2 linked regions of the Arabidopsis thaliana genome follow. The main gene of each other region encodes a partner of the protein of the gene in region 2 in a complex. Each region holds a gene or a part of one and is shown on either strand. Other genes may lie near its edges.

What was found.
Region 1: WIT1 (region 2) and RANGAP2 share a complex: the UniProt entries of both Arabidopsis thaliana proteins name them as parts of the ran complex.

The regions. Positions count from the first base shown.
Region 1 is NC_003076.8:6,504,592-6,509,446, reverse strand, and holds RANGAP2 (RAN GTPase activating protein 2), read left to right. Parts: upstream 1-1,801; 5' UTR 1,802-1,919; intron 1,920-2,008; exon of another isoform or gene 2,009-2,015; 5' UTR 2,016-2,155; intron 2,156-2,472; 5' UTR 2,473-2,499; coding exon 2,500-4,137; 3' UTR 4,138-4,355; downstream 4,356-4,855. Other genes in the region: ARIA (ARM repeat protein interacting with ABF2), read left to right, coding at 28-167, 251-314, 396-475, 650-714, 834-951, 1,041-1,165, 1,253-1,352; AT5G19315 (Defensin-like (DEFL) family protein), read right to left, coding at 4,547-4,728, 4,849-4,855. UniProt on the Arabidopsis thaliana protein: GTPase activator for the nuclear Ras-related regulatory protein Ran, converting it to the putatively inactive GDP-bound state.
Region 2 is NC_003076.8:3,632,013-3,637,457, forward strand, and holds WIT1 (WPP domain-interacting protein 1), read left to right. Parts: upstream 1-1,636; 5' UTR 1,637-1,765; intron 1,766-1,946; 5' UTR 1,947-1,958; coding exon 1,959-2,556; intron 2,557-2,657; coding exon 2,658-3,847; intron 3,848-3,947; coding exon 3,948-4,127; intron 4,128-4,262; coding exon 4,263-4,406; 3' UTR 4,407-4,601; coding exon of another isoform or gene 4,602-4,912; 3' UTR 4,913-4,922; downstream 4,923-5,445. Other genes in the region: DXPS3 (1-deoxy-D-xylulose 5-phosphate synthase 3), read left to right, coding at 17-273, 363-641, 726-1,010, 1,089-1,238; AT5G11400 (Protein kinase superfamily protein), read right to left, coding at 4,602-4,912, 5,001-5,110, 5,264-5,330, 5,415-5,445. UniProt on the Arabidopsis thaliana protein: Together with WIT2, required for the nuclear envelope docking of RANGAP proteins in root tips.

The sequences.
Region 1 (4,855 bases), 2.9 Mb from region 2:
AGTTAATATTGAGTTGTCTTTTGACAGGGTTGGAGTTGCTACTCGGTCTTCTTGGTTCTTTAAACACTAAGCAGCAACTTGACGGTGCAGCAGCGTTGTACAAATTAGCAAATAAATCTATGGCACTTTCTCCAGTTGATGCTGCTCCTCCTTCTCCAACACAAAGGGTGAGTTTCCTTTCTGCTTCAGTTCTCCTATAGGTAACGGGTGGAAGTCTCAATGCAGTATTCTGTATGTCTTTTTGTGACAGGTTTATCTCGGAGAGCAATATGTAAATAATGCTACGCTGTCTGATGTAACCTTTCTAGTCGAAGGTAATCATATATAAATCCAGAAGTTGTGGAACTCTAGTTAGCTTCAAAGTCCATATGTAAAACAGAAAAATCATACTGCAGGAAGGACATTCTATGCACACAGAATTTGTCTGCTGGCATCCTCAGATGCATTTCGTGCAATGTTTGATGGTGGTTACAGAGTAAGTGAACTAAATATTTTGGTTTTTCGATAATGTTCTTGTGGGGTAAATGATATTTTGATGACAATGACGTATGGATGTATGCTGGTCTGCTATTTATCAAAGGAATACAATTATCTTTTGGGGAAATTAGACCTGAATTGTGTCACGGTTTGTGTTTCGTTTATATCACAGGAAAAAGACGCTAGAGATATTGAGATTCCAAATATCAAATGGGAGGTGTTTGAGTTAATGATGAGGTATGATGAATGAACCTCTGCATGCTTTTGATTGACTCACTCGAGATATTGAAATTTCGAAAAGTCTGTGAGAACTTTTCATATACACGTAATTGACTCCCTTGGATTATGATTTTCAGGTTTATATACACTGGATCTGTCGACATAACAAATGAGATATCAAAAGATCTTCTAAGAGCAGCGGATCAGTATCTCTTGGAGGGCCTGAAACGACTCTGTGAATACACAATTGCTCAGGTGAGCCAGAATTATATCACAATGTAAAGTGATGATGTGGTTTGCGTAGTACTTAACGAAATCTGACACGGTTACTTTGAATATGAAAGGATATTACGTTGGAAAGTATAGGAGACATGTACGAGCTATCAGAAGCATTCCATGCGATGTCGCTGAGGCAAGCTTGTATCATGTTCATCCTGGAGCATTTCGATAAACTGAGTTCAATGCCTTGGTAATATAAACAAGATGTCACTCTCTCTCTCCACTAAGATTTGTTTTATTGCTATTAGTCTGAAACAAAAGTGAATGGAAAATGCAGGCAGAACGAGCTGGTGCAGAGAACAATACCAGAGATAAGAGAGTACTTTTGTAGAGCCCTAACAAAGTCTACTACAAACCTGCAAAGCTTGAGGTTGTAGAATGCGGAAGAAGAAGACTGCACTTAACTAGAGGTAAGTAGACAAGGAATTATATAGAGAGAAAGAGAGAGAGAGATCAAGAGCCGCCATTAGAGGTCTTTATCGTCCTGTACTGGGTTGTCTTAGTTATTTGCTGTGCTTTTTGGTTCGTTTTGGTCATTTTGTATTGTATTAATTAATCTCCTCTGATCACAATCGGTCTTGAATGAAATCGCTACCCTTTGTATCCAAAAATACCATTGTGGTATAACTTCCACTATTCAATTCAAAATCCACTCTCCAACTATCCTCTCTGTTGAGAAAAGATACTTTGGGTAGGTTGTGACTAAGCGTAGCTGTAACGATTTGATATTGGTAGTGGTGACCAGTGAGTTCATGTCTGAATAATTAAGAGATGATTCAACACAGAACATAATATCCCATTTTTGTTTTACAAATAAAGAATCAATCGAAAGTATTACTGATGATTAGAGACTGTAACTTGTAAGTATTTTGTAGCACAAGCCACTGAAAATTACATTACACATAAAGGAGTTTTCTTTAACATGAAAGATTCAAAATTACCAGGTTGGTTCTAATTAATTACGTTTTCTTCCAAAGTGATTAATTACTCAAGTCACGATGAATTATTAACCTTTCTCTTTTTTTTTTTTTTTAAATTAGTCTATAGAGACTTTTGGTTCAACGAACGTAGGAGGGAGTTTTAAAGAGCTCCGGTGAAGGAGAAACCCTAAAAACACACTCGATTTTGCAGCCAGAGAGAGTCTCAGAGCTCCGAGATTCAGACAATCTTCATCGGTCCGGTACGCTTTTCATTTCCGTTTATTCTCATCGCAAACGGATAATTATTTGTCTGATCCGATTTTACCCTGTGATTAAGCACCGATGTTCCTTCCTCGTAGTTGGTGATTTAATGCTTCTTCTCGAAACTATCCACTTATAGGATCTCCGATCTTTACGAGATTACTCTCCTTAATCTCTGTTATTGATTTAGTCACAGCATTTTCTGATTTATCAATTAGTTATTCCTTTGGGCTCAATGTTAATCCTCCTAAGTGATTAGTGATTACGATAGAGCCTCCTCTGATTATTTCTAACTTTTGTGTGTATGTTTTTGCAGTGATATTAAAACTCTGGATTTGCGATAATGGCTGATATACTTGATTCTCGACCTCATGCATTTTCGATTAAACTCTGGCCACCGAGTTTACCTACAAGAAAAGCTCTCATTGAGCGTATAACCAACAATTTTTCTTCCAAGACTATTTTCACTGAGAAGTACGGTAGCTTAACCAAAGACCAGGCTACGGAGAACGCTAAGAGGATCGAAGATATTGCTTTTTCCACTGCTAACCAACAGTTTGAGAGGGAGCCTGATGGTGATGGTGGTTCAGCTGTACAGCTTTATGCCAAAGAATGCAGTAAGCTTATCTTAGAAGTTCTCAAGAAAGGACCTGTTGCTAAAGTTGCGGCAAGAGAATTGATTTCTGAGGATTCTGTGTCTCCCCGCGAAACTTTTTTCGATATTTCTAAAGGTAAACGGGCTTTCATTGAGGCTGAGGAAGCTGAGGAGCTTCTCAAACCTTTGAAGGAACCTGGCAATGCCTACACTAAGATATGCTTTAGTAATAGGAGTTTTGGCTTGGGAGCTGCTCGTGTCGCTGAGCCTATCTTGGCGTCTTTGAAAGATCAGCTTAAGGAAGTTGACTTGTCTGACTTTGTTGCTGGACGACCTGAGCTTGAAGCTCTTGAGGTTATGAATATATTTTCTGACGCACTGCAAGGTAGTATTCTCTCGTCTCTCAACTTATCAGATAATGCATTGGGTGAGAAGGGTGTTAGAGCGTTTGGGGCACTCTTAAAATCTCTGAGCTCTTTGGAAGAGCTGTATTTGATGAATGATGGTATCTCTAAGGAAGCTGCGCAAGCGGTCTCCGAGTTGATTCCTTCAACAGAGAATTTGAGGGTCCTTCATTTTCATAATAACATGACGGGAGATGAAGGGGCACTCGCTATTGCAGAGGTTGTCAAGCGTTCCCCACTGCTGGAGAATTTCCGTTGTTCTTCCACAAGAGTCGGCTCAAAAGGGGGAATCGCCTTGTCAGAAGCACTTGAGCATTGTACTCATATGGAGAAACTTGATCTGCGGGATAATATGTTTGGCACAGAAGCCGGAGTTTCTTTGAGCAAAACTCTTTCAAGCTTCAAACACATGACTGAGCTTTACTTGAGTTATCTAAATCTAGAGGATGAAGGTGCCATAGCCATAGTAAACGCTCTAAAGGAGTCTGCTTCGCCCATTGAAGTTCTAGAGATGGCAGGAAATGACATAACAGTTGAAGCTGCTTCAGCTATCGCAGCCTGTGTTGCAGCAAAACAAGATCTGAACAAGTTGAATTTGTCTGAGAATGAGCTGAAAGATGAGGGATGTGTCCAGATTGCAAATTGTATAGAAGAGGGTCACTCAAAACTGCAATACATCGATATGAGCACCAACTACATAAGAAGAGCCGGAGCACGAGCCTTGGCTCATGTTGTTGTGAAGAAAGAAGCTTTCAAGCTGTTGAACATTGACGGGAACATCATATCAGAAGAAGGCATTGAAGAATTGAAAGAGATATTCAAGAAATCCCCAGAGTTACTTGGAGCTTTGGATGAGAATGATCCTGATGGAGAAGAAGATGATGATGATGAGGAAGACGAAGAAGATGAAGAGAACGAAGGTAATGGGAATGGTGAGCTGGAATCGAAGCTGAAGAACCTTGAAGTTAATCAGGAAGATTAAGTCTGTGATGTTGGTACTTTTCAATGTTTTTGTTTGTTTTGTACCAGTATTATTACTCTAGCTGCTGCTACAAAGACCAAAACATATTTGAGACATTGGTGTTAGTTTTATTTTTGCCGATAGCTTATTGGTCCTTTTTGTTTAAACACGATTGTATCGCTATTCTGAGGTCATACCTATGAGCAAAACAATTTTATATTCTATTTGGTTTGGTACCGTTTTGGTTTAGATACGATTTTAAACAAATTTTGTTAACTTGAAAAGTTTAAACTAACGTGAAAGAAGTTTTCAGGAGTGACCATTTCACATACTAAAGATATAATCAACAGTGAAGACAAGATTTTGAGTTTAATACTAGTTAGAATAAGCAATCGAGGATTGCAAACGCAAGCATAAAAACATATTTTTTTTAACAGTAACAATGGCATTTTTTTGCTCCACCAGCAAAACGTTTGCAAAAACCGCCTTTCTTATTATCACATCCATCAAGACACCATTTGTTGCATCTCTTTCTGTCTTGGTATGTGTTGCAAGCTCCAAATTTCGCATGTGTGTTACAGCACAACGAACTTCCGGATCCTTCAACGACATCTATAACATGCAAACAACAATTTTTCATCTTTAAGATTCACGTAAAGATCAAACAAAAACTTTTTATATAATACATCTTTGTATCCCCAAAAATATCAAAATTTATGGTGAGAGACTAACCAATAGA
Region 2 (5,445 bases):
TTTTTTTTTGTCTCAGACAGACGCACTTACAGTGATTGCTTTGTTGAGGCTTTGGTGATGGAGGCAGAAAAGGATAGAGATATTGTTGTAGTTCATGCAGGAATGGAGATGGATCCGTCACTTCTTACATTTCAGGAGAGATTTCCAGACAGATTTTTCAATGTCGGAATGGCTGAACAGCATGCTGTCACATTCTCTGCTGGTCTTTCTTCTGGAGGTCTCAAGCCATTTTGTATTATTCCCTCTGCTTTTTTACAAAGAGCTTATGACCAGGTTTCACTTTCCTCTAGCACAAAATAAAATTGTTCTAAAAGGTTTTTATTACAAGCAAATGGCCTTAGTGTCTTTGATGGTTTCTTTAGGTGGTCCATGATGTAGATCGGCAGAGAAAGGCGGTGCGATTTGTTATTACAAGCGCAGGGCTTGTTGGATCCGATGGTCCAGTGCAGTGTGGAGCTTTTGACATAGCTTTCATGTCATCCTTACCAAACATGATAGCCATGGCTCCAGCCGATGAGGATGAGCTTGTAAATATGGTTGCAACTGCTGCTTATGTCACTGACCGCCCAGTATGTTTCCGGTTCCCTAGAGGCTCCATCGTCAACATGAATTATCTTGTCCCCACTGGATTACCAATTGAAGTAAGTTCCAATCTAATCTTCAAATCTTTTGGTTGCAAAAACAGACCGTGGTGACACAAGAACTGCTTTATCATATTAGAGTAGATCGGAAGAGGAAGAGTTCTCGTAGAAGGTCAAGATGTGGCTTTACTTGGTTATGGAGCGATGGTTCAGAATTGTCTTCATGCTCACTCGCTTCTCTCGAAACTCGGTTTGAACGTGACTGTAGCTGATGCAAGATTTTGCAAACCCCTAGACATCAAGCTTGTGCGTGATCTTTGTCAGAACCACAAATTCCTTATCACTGTCGAAGAAGGCTGTGTTGGAGGGTTTGGTTCTCATGTGGCGCAGTTCATAGCCCTCGATGGCCAGCTCGATGGGAATATCAAGGTAGAGAGACAAATCAAAACCTCATGTTCTCACCTGTTTTTGGTTTTAAGTTGTAATTTTGCTCTTAACATTGTGTAGTGGAGACCCATTGTGTTACCGGATGGCTACATAGAAGAAGCATCGCCTAGGGAGCAGCTTGCTCTTGCAGGGCTAACTGGACATCACATAGCAGCAACCGCTTTGAGTCTTTTGGGCCGAACTCGTGAAGCATTGCTTCTCATGAGCTAGCTTAACCTTCTCATATGGGATTTACCTTCACAAGAGACTTAAAGAGGAGTTTCTTAAACAGAATTTGTAGATAATACATTCTGAATTCAAGAGCCCATTTGATATCCTGATTTTGGAATAGCAATCTGCTATGTATTGTAAATGTAGAGTTGAGAATTGACTAAAATAAATTCAATTACTTTTTAGGCGGTATCTCAGTTTTCATATTCTCAGTTAGTTGTTGTTGTTGTTGTTGTTGTTGTTGTTGTTGTTGTTGTTGTTGTCAAGTCTATTTGGTGTAACAGTCGCATGTCCCAAATCTGGAAACAAACAAAATATAGAACAGAGACGTGTATTTTCGATACTCGAGTTTTTTTTTAATAAAAGCATCTTAAAAAATTAGTAAAGAGTTACTGTCAAACAATATTCGTTTAATTACAAATCCGAGTCCTTCTTCTTCTTCTTCTTCTCGATCTCTGTATCTCTCGATCATTTCCTTCTAAAGGAAGCGTCTTTGATCTTAATCGTCGTGTCGTTCGTTTCTAACTGTAAGTTTTCTCCTTTTCATTCATTTTGCTTCAATCTCGATCGGAATCAAGTAAAAAATCGGAACTTTTACCTAGATTTCCTCAGGAATCGAAAAGTTCTTGTGATTTAGCAGAACCTCTATTGTTTCCGATCTCTTAATTCAATTACTTGACAAAAGTGATTATACTTTCTCTGTTGCAGTTATATTGAAAGATGGAAACAGAAACGGAACATGATAGAACTGTCTCTGTCGATGACAACGACAGCCTTGTACCTGAGCCAAGCTCAACGAAAGAAAGCTTTTTTGAAGATCTCTCGCTTACTGGGCAAGTTATGAATCCTCAACTTTCAAGTGCAGGCGAAGTTTTGACAAAAGTTGAATTGGATTTTGCTTTTGTCTCTGAGAAATTGGTCAATCTTAGTCTTCTTACTATGCAACTCGGCACGAGGGAAAATGATTTTGAGTCTTTTGTTTCTAAGAAAGAAGAAGATGAAGAAGAGCCTTCGAGTAATGTTGATGATGATGATGATTCTGCTGAGAAGGCATTGGAGTTTGATCTCTTGTCTTCAATTCTCAATTCAGAGGTGAAAGAACTTGAATCGCTTCTTGGTTTTCTCCAGAACGAGATTCAAAGCGCCCGTGTCATGATATCTCCGTTTCAACATGATGGAGAAGCTTTCTTGGATTTGGAAGGGAAGTTGAATGATACTGAACAATCTTTGGGTCAGTTAATGGAACAAGTAGTGGAAATGAAGAAGCAATCTTCTAACTTTCAGAGGTTATCTTCTGGTTTGGATGAACAAGGAAGCTGTAAGTGACCAATCTAGCTTTCTTTTTAACCTTGTTGTGATGATCACTTGGTGAGAAAAATTTCAGGCTTTAATGAATACTATATAACTTTGTTTTTGCAGGGTCTGGAGGGCAAACTTCAGTGTCTCAAAACGATGGTGAGTTTGGTGATCTGAGCGCTAAGATCAATATGCAGACTGCTGATCAGCAAAGGAATGTTTTAAGGATGCTTGAGAAATCTTTGGCTAAGGAGATGGAACTTGAGAAGAAACTAAGTGAATCAAGAAATACTGAACGAGAACTAGAGATGAAACTGTATTCTTCTGAGCAGGATGTTGTCTACATGGAAGAAGTAACCGAAGATGCGTTCTCCAGGTGGCTTGAGGCAGATAATGCTGCTGAAGTCTTTAAGGGAACGTCAAAGGAGATGTCTGGAAAACTCCAGATTCTTCAGTTCAATCTAAGTGGCTCTTTTAAGCGGGAAGACAACTTGAAGTCTAAGCTTGTTGATTCAAAGGAACGTTTAGAAGCTAAGGAATGCGCCTTGCACAAGCTTGATAGCAGCAATGCAAGACTTGCTGACTTTCTTGTGGCACAAACAGAAGGCTTAAAAGAGAGTTTGCAAGAGGCTGAAGAAAAATTGATTTTGTTGAACACTGAGAATTCCACATTAAGTGAGAAAGTTAGCTCCCTTGAAGAACAACTGAATGAATATGGGATTCAAACAGAAGATGCGGATGCTACTTCTGGTGCTCTGATAACAGATCTTGAACGTATCAACGAGGAACTGAAAGATAAATTAGCCAAAACTGAAGCAAGGGCTGAGGAAACAGAATCCAAGTGCAAAATCCTAGAAGAAAGCAAAAAGGAGCTTCAAGACGAGTTGGGGAATTTCAGAGACAAGGGCTTCACTATACATAAGTTAGCATCGCTTGAGAAACACTTGAGGGACTCAGATCTACAACTAGAACATGCAGTTGCAGCTGTTGAAGCAAGTAAAGAAAAGCAGAACTTGTTATATTCTACTGTTTCTGATATGGAGGATGTGATCGAGGATCTAAAATCAAAAGTTTTGAAGGCTGAAAACAGGGCCGACATTACCGAAGAGAAGTTGATCATGGTATCTGAGTCTAACGCAGAGGTCAACGAAGAACTGAAATTCTTTAAGGGTAGATTGAAAGAAGGGGAGAAATATTTACAGCAAGCAGAAGAAAGAAAATTGCGAACCGCCAAAGATATCGGGGTACATAACAAGATCATGAAAAAACTGGTCATGCAACTAGCTGCTGAACGAGAACGACTTCATAAACAGGTATTACCATATTCGTAAAACCCCAGTTCGCTGTTAGTTCATGTCCTTGTAGCTTCATCATCATCACAGTGGATTCTTAGATATAGTGACTTATTTGCAGATAACTAACCTGTCAAGAGAGAATTGTGTGTTGATGGTGAAGTTGAAAAAGGTTGGAAAAACTGGTTATATGGAAAGTGGCAATGGAAGTGAAGTTTCACCAAAGTCGGACCAGAATGCTTCTTCTTGCCATCAAGGAAGTAGACTTCAAGCCACCTTCATTTCATTAACTAATCCAGAGGTAACATAATTCTACCTTACAAAAAATCTGATCTTTTGCTGGCATCTAAGTGAGTTATACCATTAAGCTTTAGTCCAACAATCGAATATTATGAATCTAAGCTTGACGTTAGTAACCGTGGTCACCTTTTTGTAGGAGGAAGAAACAGGTTCAAAATCAGATATTGGAAGTGTAAGGAGATTAGATGTTGGAGCTCTTAGGTTCAAACACATTCTCGTTGCAATACTCGTGATCTTAATATCGTCGATAGCTTATGTTATATCCCAGCAAAACATGTAAGAGTCTTTAACTTTTTCCAAAATCTCAGTCTCCAGTTTTGTACTCTCTTTGTCATAGTTTACAATGACAGATTATATTTTAGTTCTTTTTGGCTACCCAGTTACAGAAAATCTGCTATATAATTAACCCCGACACTGGTATTTTGTGTTATTACAATATCTTTTTCAGTGTCAAGTATTAGTACCTCTCTACACATTAGTCCTTAATCTCTGCAATATGATTAAGACCATCCAATACTTGTTGCATCAATGGCCGTTTCTTTGTATTATGCGCTGTGCATCGGTTGATGAGTGTGCCCATCTGTGTCGCCGCATTCGCAGAATAATCGCTCCCAAGTCGGGGATCGATTATTTCCTCAATCTTATAATTATCTGGCAAGAAAGATGAGGTCCAGTAATCTACTAAGCCTTGCTCTTCCTTAATCTTTTTTCTATCCTTGGAACCCATTAAAAGTTCAAGCAAGATCATACCAAAAATGTAAACATCGGTCGTCATATCCAAAATACCTAACACATACATTACACAATTGTCTTAACGTTGAACAACGAAAGATTTTTCAGAATTTGTAAAACGAAAGTTAATGCTTTCGTGTACCTAACGATCCCCATTCAGGAGATAGGTATGTAAATCTTCCCCTCTTGAGACCTTCATCTACCAAGCTTCGTTTGGTTGGTTCGAGATAGAACAGTTTTTGCATTGTATTGCTGATGAAATCCAAACTTAGATATTAATTTCTAAGATCATAAACAAAAAGAGAGAAGAAGGATGGAAATAAAACAATTACCACCTCGTCAAGCATAATGTTATGCATCCTGAGTTCTCGGTTTAGGGGGCTGTTCTTGATCGAGTGAAGAAACGCGAGACCTTGAGCTGTTCCAATGGCTATCTTAACCCGTATTTCCCATGGCAATGCCTCTTCTTCTTCTGTTGAGGGAAACGTAAAACTATAGGTAATGCAATAGTTGTCTATATCTTAGAATGGACCCATTAGCTAGAAAAGATCTTAACTTCCGAAAATGTGACTGTCCAAACTTCCTTT